Danio rerio: one gene and its partner. The protein of the gene in region 2 purifies or fractionates together with the protein of the main gene of each other region. This does not show direct contact. Links are inferred from orthologs where the notes say so. Each region holds a gene or a part of one and is shown on either strand. Other genes may lie near its edges.

Region 1 (6,164 bases), on a different chromosome or scaffold from region 2:
ATGGCCTTCCAGCTGCAACCCAACACCAGGAAACACCCATACACTCTCACATTCACACAAATACACTACAGCCAATTAACCTTTTTCAAATCACCTATAGCGCATGTCTTTGGACTGTGGGGGAAACCGGAGCACCCTTAGGAAATGCATGCAAACACGAGGAGAACATGCAAACTTTACACAGAAATGCCAATTGACCCATGCTGGGGCTTGAACCAGCGACCTTGCTGTGAGGCGATCGTGCTACCGACTGCCCCACCATGCTGCCTAGTTTTAATACAAACAAAAATATTTTTGTTAAAATGTTTTAATATGTTACTAAATACTAAATATTTTCATCATTAAATATTAATAAAAATTATAATAGTGTTACTGATATTGACATTGTCACAGTTATTTACTGTATTACATTGATCCATATAATGTGCATTTAGATATTTGCGGCATTATAAAATTATAACTTAATTAAAACATTGTGACAGATTGAATAAAGGGACAGTTCTGGGTTAATTTTTATTTGTTGAACACAAAAGGAAACATTTTGAAGAATGCTGGAAAACGGAAGCCATTGCCTTCTAAGGACAAAAGCTATTGAAAATATCAAAATATATTTTCTGTTCAAAAGAAGAAAGCAACCCAACCAAGTTTGAAATAAGCAGAGAGAGTGAACGAAGACACAATTAAATTTTTTTGTGAGAACTACCCTTTTAAAGCTGGAGTATGTGAATTGTTTTTTTCAAAATATGCAACACATTTCAATCTTACTATGGTGAAACTATATTATAATTACTATATTCATTCATTTTTCTTCAGCTTAGTCTGTTTAGTCACAGCGAATGAATGAACTGCCAAATTATACAGCATATGTTTTACGCAGCAGATGCCCTTCCAGTTGCAACCCAGCACTTGGAAACACCCATACACTCTCACATGCACACACATACACCACAGCCAATTTAGTTTCTTCAGTTCACCTATAGCGCATGTCTTTGGACTGTGGGGGAAACCGGAGCACCTGGAGGAAACCCACACCACCACGGGGAGAACATGTAAACTCCACACAGAAATGCCAACTGGTCCAGCTGGGGCTCGAACCAGCAACCATCTTGCTATTTTTTTTCTTTTATTTATCTTGTCAATCCACACTATAAAGACATAATCTACTGCAGCAACACTCGGGGGCCACAAATTCGCAAACAAAATAGGGTTGAATGATTTAAAAGAAGATGTTTCTCAGACTGGAATGTTTATAAATGTTTTTTCAAATCTGTTCTCAATTTCACAGCCGGAGATTCCTTTAAAAAGTGCAAAAGTTTGGCTGATAATAAAGCTCATGTGTGAACTGAACAGCATTTCAAACAAACATTCCTGTCTGATAAACTGCAGATGATTCAGATACTCCATAAAAATGCTTCTAAATTTGCACTGCAGAACATCACTGATCCGCTTCACAGATCTCTGTAAGCCGCAAGCTTGTTTTATTTAATAGTACTGAGATGATTCAGTGCTGTCTAAAAGCAAAGATTGATGGAGAAAACTCTGTTCTACGGTATGAAAAATGGCTCAGGTGTCCCACAGGAGTTTTTAGAAAAAAATGATTCCCCCGTTGAATCATTCATCATGCGAGGCTGACTGAACCGCAGCTTCCTTACGTTCTCAATCATACAGATTTTTGTCTGTTCTATATCACCCTGTACAGGTTGTCCAAGTAGGATTTCAAAAAGACAGATGAAGACACGAGAGATGAAGGCTGTTTTTAGCATTAACCTTGTCGTCTTCAAGTTGGCTCGTGTCGGATAAAAGTGAACTAACACCATTAATAAAAGCCGGACTGGGCTGACTTCTTTTCTCAAATTCTCATTCAGGAACACAATGTCCTCCACCCTGAAATGTTGTGATGGTGTTGTCCTAATGCTGGCAAACAGATGCATCATTACTATGCTAAATATGTAGTGAGATCATGTCTGTTTTACATTTCATTTACGTGCAGTGCAACTAAACTTTGAAGATGTTTTATTTATTTTAAAAGGAGGATTAAAGCTTACATTATACATGAATTATGAGTTTGTTTTTCAGCCATACACTTCTGCCACTTTATTATACATCTGAAACTGTTACACAATGTCCGCCTCTGTGTTTTAATTGTTGGAAACATTAGACGTTTCCTGCCTCTAACATTAGACATTTCCACTGTTGGTTCCAATTAAGTAGAGTATTGAAAGATGCAAAGGTCAGTGGTTGAAGTCCAGGTAATGCATTAAAACAAATAGTGTTCTGTCTGTCTGTTTGTCTGTCTGTCTGTCTATCTATCTGTCTCTGTCCGTCTGTTAGAGATTATGATGTGCTGTCTATGCTTGCAAAAGGGCTAATCTATCTAAGATATATCTATCTATTTATCTGTCTGTCTATCTGTCTGTCTGTCTGTCTGCCTGTCTGTTAGAGATTAGAACAGCAATGCTGTCTATGCTTGCAAAAGGCTAACGAAATGTACATTTAAAAAAGGATCACTCATTTGATTAATAATAGTCCTACCCAAGCTACTAAACAAAAGGTTTAATTGCAATCTAGAACAAATTTACCAATGCGACGAACAAATGGGTACAGTTTGGAATTGACCTAGCATCGGAACTAATAAATAAATGTAAAAGTTCCTACCGGACTGTGTTTTGAGGAGGACGAGGAGGCTGAATAACAGGAAGAGGAGAAGCAGCCACTATGGCGGAGGTACGTTGATAAAATATCAAATCTTACACTTTTCAGTTATTCGCTGAAGTTGATTGACATCTAAAATCACACGTTGTAATACACATTTTTCTATCAAACTATTTGGATTACACACAGGTGTTTATAATCCCGTTTATTTGACACGTTAGCGCTTTTCTAGTGGTCTCCAAAGATAATTATCGACGTCGATATCTAACGTTAACTATCCTCTCGCTCAGTGTCAGCGCATATACATGACTATAAAACTAGTTGTCGAGTTTAAAACGAGCTCCGCGTTATTTCATTTTTACGTGTTTGAGGTAGGGCGTTGTGTTTGTTGTTTCGGTGTATATGCTCACGATTTCCGGTGTTTTTAATGATGGTTAGTTTTTATGATAATTATAAAAAGTGTAGTTTCAGCAGCAAATCTGCAAAATGTGAGGATTTCTTAAGGATGATTTGGGCACCGATGATGAAGACAAAGGGGAAAAGGATGATAAATGAAACTCTCCCATCACAATAATAAATGACATTTTATTAAATGTTTTATTAAATAGCCGAAATAATTGTCAGAATTGTTTGTGTTTTAGATTATAACTGGTTTTACAGATTTATTTTCAAGTACTTGCATAAAATAGTTCCGTAAAGCAGGAATTTAATAAGAAATTGCTATTAAGTCTAAAAATGGACAAGTGTTTTTCCTTAAGCATACCCTTTTTACTATTAGAAATGTATTAAAATGACAAATGATTTTGTAATAATATGTTATTTCTGTCTCTCTCCAGACGCACAGCTTGCAGGACCTGCGGCAAGCAGCCGTCGCCTCCAAGGTTTTCGTTCAGAGAGATTACACCAGTGGCACCATCTGCAAGTTTCAGACCAAGTTCCCAGCCGAACTGGAGAGCAGGGTGTGTAGAGGTCCTAAAAAACTAAGGGGGACTTTGGGGAGGAAATTTTTTTTTTTTCGGATTTAGGATTAACAGTGATAAAATGGTTTTGTGGTGGTTTTTAATTTTTGTCTGTCGTGGATAAATAAATATAGCACTAAAAGTGTTTTCACACCTGGCATGTAGTTGTATAACCCAGTGTGTTTTTACCTTCAGGTTGGTTAATTTGGGTAGAAGTGAAGAAGGCAATCAAGCTTGAATTCAGACCAAAATAATCAGTCTGACACAATTAGTCTTAGCAAGGTGCATGAAGACAATCTACTGCCGCTAAGAATGAATGGTGAATTATCATAGAGTAAAAACAACCTGAAATGCCTTATTGATCCTTTGAACTGCAAATTTTAGCACCAATGTCCAAAACAAATAAAACACTGATGAAGCTTTTAAAATAATAAAGGAATGTAACAGCTAAAATGAAATCTACATGAAGCACGCAGAGCTGCTGTGTGTCTTTTTTGACAGATGACTGAGAATCTGGAACATAAAGAGGTGTGTGCTCTGATCAGTTAGATGATAATTAACCTGCACGTAACAAATATTTATCAGGTTAAAAATATCGCCTTGCACAAGTAAACCAAATCATAACGATTTTGTAACTCCTATAATCCCTGTTTCGGAACAAAGCAAACAATCTACTGGTTTGAAAACTGCCTAAAACCCAAGTAGGTAGTGGCAAGTCCCTGTTCTAATGATTTGTTGGATTCATTCTTGATGTTGATACCAAGCAAGTGACTGAACTGATCACTGGATCATTGATGCAAATGATTTATTAAAAAAACTCGGCATCAACAGCTGTGAAGGGAGCTCTATTTGCTTGGTCTCACACACACATACAGGCATCTAAACGTGCACAAACACACCTTTTAAACTTGACAAAAACTCTTGACAACCTTTACTGTCTGCTGTGTCTTTAATATGATGTTAACATTATTATGCGTTATTGAAACATCAAGGAGGACGCAGCAAAGAAAAGTCACTTATAAATTAAAACTTTATTATTTTCTGCAACAACCTTACATTTGAAAAGGAAACAGTCATAGGGGTGATCATACTCAAAAAGACCCTAGCCTATAAGGCTAGATGTTTTCTTTCCCTTATTTATTTATTTGTTTGATGCATGTACTCGTGTGCGATCGGAAAACTGTGTCTGCACTCCGCCCCTCCTTTCACTCCGCCCCGAAGCCCCATTTGGCCCTCTTTGCCCCAAGGTATTCAGCGGGTTGAAAAAGGCTGACCGCTGGCCTCAAGAAAGCCTCGATTTGGCCCGATTAGGCCCCCAAAGTGACAGTGGAAAAGCGACTGGCCTTGGCTCGCTCGCTTTAGGCACGATAGTGGAAACCCAGCCAATGATGGGCAAAACAATCTGTGGATATCTGTGCACACAGATTCTGCCTAATAATGACTATATACAAGTAATAACTAAAATCTACATGTGTAAAATTATTTCTATATTTGTGAAAAAACAAATAAACGCATACACAATTTTTTGCTTTTTTAAACTGAATTATAGTCATTTTCCCAGCATTCTGAAAGGCTTTATGAACTAGTATAGTTTTTGGACTCTCAAAACATGTTTTATTGCTAAATAAATGACATACGAGATAAAATCAGCTTGCACATCATTAAAACAACAGTTACAATATTATCTATAAACATCACACACCCTTATGGCAAACAGCGAAGGACAATGTTTACAGATGTCAAATTCATCTAAAGAATTGTTTTATTGATTCTGACAGCTCTAATTTTTCAGTCAGATGACTTCAGTTTGGTTTTTTGGAGTTTTGCAGATGTTCGTTCTGTTAATTCTACCCAGATGTGTGTGTGGTAAACTGGGAAAGCTAGGGGGAAAGATATAATAGCTCTGTCAAGCAACACCACTTACATCGTCTGATTGTTTTGTTTTTTCAGATTGACAAGGTGCAGTTTGAGGAAACCATACAGACCCTGAATAATCTCTATGCAGAAGCAGAGAAGCTGGGCGGCAGGTCGTACCTGGAGGGCTGTTTGGCCTGTCTCACTGCGTACACAATCTTCCTCTGCATGGAAACACACTATGAGAAAGTGAGATATCATCATTTAGTGTGGATATCATCAATATGACTTAGATATGGAATTCAGTATTATGGTGTTTTGTTTAGGTGCTGAAAAAGATTGCTAAGTTCATCCAGGAGCAAAATGAGAAGATCTACGCTCCTCTTGGGCTTCTTTTGACCGACCCCATTGAGAGGGGGCTCAGGGTCGTATCCTTTCTCTCTTTTTTCACATGTCTGTCTGTTCACGGGTGAAGTGGGTGTTTTTTGACCTGACAAATTTGTAAATTAAATTTTTTTTTTTAAGCATTTTGAGTGGGTCGCAGAGAGATGCAGGATTATGTTATGAGGACTCATAACATTTATAAATTTTATTGCACATTCTATTTAATGCATATTCATCAGTATTAATAATATTCACAGCTTAATGGCCATGGAAAATGTGGGATATATAGAAAGCAGATCTATCTATCTATCTATC
Region 2 (5,233 bases):
GATTAGTTTGTGTTGGGACAACATAAATGAATTGTGTGGAAACCTGAATTGTTTACAGTGTAACTTGTCATAAATCTGTCATAAACATGATCGTCATGAAGACATTATAATTGTGTTATGAATAGTTTTCTGATCACGTTTTCAGAGAAATAAGCTGTATTTATCAATAATATGTCTCATTAAAAGTGTTATTACTAAATTGGTAACACTTTATTTTGATGGTCTATTTGAGTATTAGTAGACTGTATGCCTAATATCTGTTGATACTGCTCCTTCAACAGGCATTTTAGACTATAAGAAACTTTGCCAGTACATGTCAACTTACACTAACCCTAATCTAACAGTCTACTTATAATCTAATGAGAATTAGTTGGCATGTAGATTCATTGTAACTTGAATTCAACAAACGGACCATCAAAATAAAGTTGTGACCAATCATTTTTTAACAGCATCGTTAATATTTGATGATGTTTTAATGACAAATTTACCACTGTAGTTGAGGTAAAAATATACATCAATGAATGACGTTGTTATAAAATTCATGTTATTTGTAATGACTCATGACAATCATGTTTATGACAGATTTATGACAGGTTTTGTTGTTTTGGTAATGTCAAGTTGTCATGACAAATTCAAAAAAAGGTTGCATTTGTTTATGTTAAGTTGTCGTTACAAACAATGTCATCTTTGCATTTAAAATGTCTAAACTGAGCGAAATTGCTCTTAATGATAGTTGCCAATAGCATTCATAAAATCTTATTCAAAGGGGAAATGGAGCACTCAAGTTTGCATTATTTTGTACATTGGATTCCACTTTAATGAAAATATAATAAACAAACTCGATTAATGTAACCATTTAGCAGAAAACGGCATATTTTACTACATATTTTAGACCTAGGACGCCACTATCTTGGAATGCCGCTGTGTCTGATGTCACAGGGTTGGTTCCGTTCCTTCAGCTGAACAGATACTATGGAAGTAAGAGACTGATCATGAAAATTGAACAGCCTAATTACACAATGCGTGAAGCTGGTGCAAATATAAGCATCAGATGTGTGTCTAATATAAAAATAGATATTTATTTTCTTTTTAATTACTGATCATTTGATGTGCTTTGGTCCACTCTCTTTATTATGCTGCCTGAGTCAATGGGTTTCAACAAGGTCCGCTACTGACATAATGGGGGCGGGTACTTTCACTTTTCACTGCTACTGCTGCTCAAATCTGTTCGTGTTCGAACCAAACTAAGATCGCCACGGTTTTTCACATGGCAGATTTTTATCCTTCATACATGTTGTGAGAGCGAGCTGATTAGCTTGAAAAGGGAATATGTTATGACATAACCGACACAGACGTGACTTAGTAAAGCGTGAAGTCATGTATGATTTTAATTGTCGCACTAATCTGTCCCTGGAGCAGCGTGAGTGGACCACAGGGCATCAAACAAAAGGTATTAAAAAATGAAATAAAATAAAATAAAAAATTACACAACTTAAGACACTTAAATGCTTGTATTTGCACCAGCGATGCACATCCACAACTTCATGGTTAAATCAGGCTGTCCAGTCTCTGTGTTCAGTCCGTTACTGCCATGCTTGAAACCCAGACAGGTAGTCAGGCAGCGTAATACAGATAGTGAACCAAATAGTCAGTAACTAAAAGAGGCAAAAAGAAAAATAGAAAATGTATTTTTATATTAGACACACATCTGATGCTTGTATTTACACCAGCTCCACGTCCACAACTGCACACATTGGGTTAAATTAGGCTGTTTCAGTTTTTGTTTTCAGTCCATTACTTTCACAGTATCCGTTCACCTGAGGGAACAGAACCAACCCTGTGATGTCAGACACAGCGACATTCCAAGATGGTAGCATCCTAGATCTAAAATCTATAGTAAAACATGCCGTTTACTGCTAAATGGTTACATTAATTGTTTGTTTATTATATTTTCAAGTGGAATCCAATATACAAAATAATGTAAACTTAACTGAGTGCTTAATTTCCCCCTTTAAATATATTATGTCTTATGAACACCCCTTCAAGTAAAATGTTACCACAAAGGCTAAAATAAGTGGTTAAAAAGGCAGTAATATAGCAGGAAGATCCTTCAAGTGATGCAAGTATTTCACAGGAGTGCTATAGGTGGACGGCGCTAGTTTAGCTTACTAATTTTGGGCTGATGGTATCCTTCATTACTTCATCACAGCTTTGTTAGTGGCAAAAGCAGCTGTGAATAGGCTGTGCGCGTTCCTTGAACCACTTCACCAACTTTATAGTCAGTCCTTGGTTGTTCAGGCGACTCTGTAGGCTGTCATTCGAGTGTAGTGTTGGCGGTGGCTCCTCGCAGCCCATATGAAAAGCGCAGCCGCCATGACCTGAAGCGGAGACGACACCAGCGCCAAAAACAAGGACCAGCCTGGAGAATAGTCCATTCCTTCGGGCAGCTCTGATATATCATGAAGCAAATGCAGTCCCGTGAGGAAACAGCAAACGGTCCCCAGGGAACACAGGCCTGCGTGTAGAATGATTGTTAAAGTACACATGAAGTCAAAACTAGCCGTATTGATTTTGTTAGCTTATATTGCTAGTTCTATGGTGAACAATTCATCTGTGCATTTCATTTCAAAATTTAAATCTGAAAACACTTCCTGTTTTCAGTTGAATTCTCAGATTATGTCTATCTGAGGTATCGGGCGTGGCTAACATACTTAACCACACCCCTCCAGCTGTCAGTTTGGACAACAGACATTGTGAGGAGGAGTCTGTTAGGTTGTAAAAACTCTCCCCAAACACTTTACCCAATCTTTCTGAATGAAATGCCTACTTTATTACACCCAATCAGCTCGCAGTAGAAAAAACAAGCCACCGTGGGGTGTTTTCTCATTCCGTTTCTCTCCCTTTTCTCACTTTGTCCTAATCAAGGGCAAGCTGAGGGGGTGTTTTTTAGCCTAACTGTCCAAATGAATCTTTCTTCGTTTCTAAATGCTACCACCTAAGATCTGTCTCCCCTGAAAAGTTGTTTGTGATGTTTTGTGTATGGTCTGGGGGGTCCAATCTCGCTATACGAAAGTGTAGTGACAAATAAATTGAATCTGAATCTGAATCTGAACTGCGTCACAATACAGAAAAAAAAGCAGTTGCAGCTTCCAGTTCAGAACTGAACAGTCTTCTTCCTGGAAGTAGCTGTAATTACTCCCCTATTATACATAATGAACCGTTGTCTTACCAGCCATCAGATGCAGCAGCCCTACGAACAGTGTTGGAGTAATACTGCGACACAGACAGGCACACACTCCGATTAATGCCGCGAGAAACACCAAACCCACGGAGATCAGCGGCAGCAGGAACTGACACTTCCACAGGTCTGAGAACACACACATCACAATCATGAATGATGAATCTAGAATCAAATAATGACCACATTTATTGATTATGGAATAAATATTATTTATATATTTGTACATATATATATTTATTTTTTCAAATATACATATATTTATTAGACCTCAACGCATTCTAAGGAGGTATGGGTGTTAGGCTATATTTACACTAATGTGTATTTGTTTTAGAGCAAGGGTCACCAATCTCGGCCCAGGAGGGCCGGTGTCCCTGCAGGGTTTAGCTCCAACTTGCCTCAACACACCTGCCTGGGTGTTTCAAGTATACCTAGTAAGACCTTGATTAGCTTGTTCAGGTGTGTTTGATTAGGGTTGGAGCTAAAATCTGCAGGACACCGGCCCTCCAGGAACAAGTTTGGTGACCACTGTTTTAAGAGTGTCACAAAAAGTTCATTGACAAATTTGTGTGCAGATGGTCGTAAATTTGGTGCAAGCTTGCTATGGCTTGTTAAAGGGTCACAAAACACTGAAACACATTTTTTTTAGATGTTGACAGTCATATATGTGTCCTACATTGCTAAAAACACTATTAGGAGACATATACTAGCAATCATTGGAGTGTGGAGTCTGGAATTGGCTGTCTGTACCGGCCGGTACAAAGTGACGTCATTGAGTTTTCAGCACATATTTGTTGATTAATTCACGAGAAAGACTTGGTTTGAACCAATCAGTGCGCTCTATTGTGAACGAGATGCAACTTCATTAATATGCATGGTATAGCTTCGAAGACTCTTTTTACCCGTTAACAGTGTTCAGAGAGATGCCACCAGGGCCGGAGCAAGCTGAACTGCCGCTCTAGGCAGAGGACGATCATGCCGCCCTCAACCCCAATGTGAAAACGAAAGTGACCTGGTTATGAAAATGAAGTGACGTGTCGCGGACCTTTATTCTGCCGCCCTATGCGCGGATATAACCGAGGACGCGCGGGTGCTGAGGGAGGGAGGGAGGTGTTGCGGACACTGCGCTCTCTATTCTGCCGCCCTATGCGCGGATATAACTGAGGACGCGCGGGTGCTGAGGGAGGGAGGTTTCGCGGACACTGCGCTCTCTATTCTGCCGCCCTATGCGCGGATATAACTGAGGACGCGCGGGTGCTGAGGGAGGGAGGTTTCGCGGACACTGCGCTCTCTATTCTGCCGCCCTATGCGCGGATATAACTGAGGACACGCGGGTGCTGATGGAGGTGTCGCTGACGCCGCCCTCTCTATTCTGTCGTCTATGGGCGAATATATCTGAGGACGCGGGTGGTGAGGGAGGTGTCGCGGACATAACTGAGGACGCGGGTGGTAAGGGAGGTGTCGCGGATGCCGCCGTCTCTATACTGCCGCCCTAGGCGGCCGCCTAGGTCGCCTTTATGGACGCGCCGGCCCTGGATGCCACGTTGTGTTGCCAACCGTAATTCAAACAAATACTAGAATTGTTCGGAGACATGGGTCTGCTAACACGCAACAAAAATATGTTTGCCCCACGTCACCCCCAGCTTCCACCACATATGACTATTGCGGATACACACATTGCGATATCGGTGATCAAGCAACATATTATGCAGCCCTAATATATCCTAAACTTTACAATAGTTTTAAATATAGAATTAAATATAAAAATGAAATATGCTAGTCAGGACATACATGTACGCAGCAGATCTTCTCCGGTGTTGATATTTCCAGGTGATTTATACTTAGATTCCCACTGCTGCTGCAAAGTAAAGGCCTGACATTTAGTCACCATCACTGGATCTGGAAAAAAAGCACAAGCCAAGCGAAGAGACAGACAAAGCAAAAAGTAGTTAGCATCTTTTTTTAACTTAACACACAGTGATAACTTCTAATCAT

What was found.
Region 1: the proteins of cldnd1b (region 2) and golga7 purify together in Homo sapiens (affinity purification with mass spectrometry; 3 studies listed by BioGRID and IntAct, counting the BioPlex papers as one, with this or other methods). This does not show direct contact. The link is inferred for Danio rerio from reciprocal best matches to the Homo sapiens genes CLDND1 and GOLGA7.

The regions. Positions count from the first base shown.
Region 1 is NC_133185.1:25,240,205-25,246,368, forward strand, and holds the start of golga7 (golgin subfamily A member 7), read left to right. Parts: upstream 1-2,676; 5' UTR 2,677-2,715; coding exon 2,716-2,724; intron 2,725-3,488; coding exon 3,489-3,611; intron 3,612-5,561; coding exon 5,562-5,714; intron 5,715-5,791; coding exon 5,792-5,893; exon of another isoform or gene 5,894-6,087; intron 6,088-6,164. UniProt on the Homo sapiens protein: May be involved in protein transport from Golgi to cell surface. The ZDHHC9-GOLGA7 complex is a palmitoyltransferase specific for HRAS and NRAS.
Region 2 is NC_133176.1:55,825,263-55,830,495, reverse strand, and holds the end of cldnd1b (claudin domain-containing protein 1b), read right to left. Parts: intron 5,138-5,233; coding exon 5,030-5,137; intron 3,368-5,029; coding exon 3,230-3,367; intron 2,516-3,229; coding exon 2,295-2,515; 3' UTR 1,491-2,294; downstream 1-1,490. UniProt on the Homo sapiens protein: Plays a role in negatively regulating the permeability of cells to small molecules.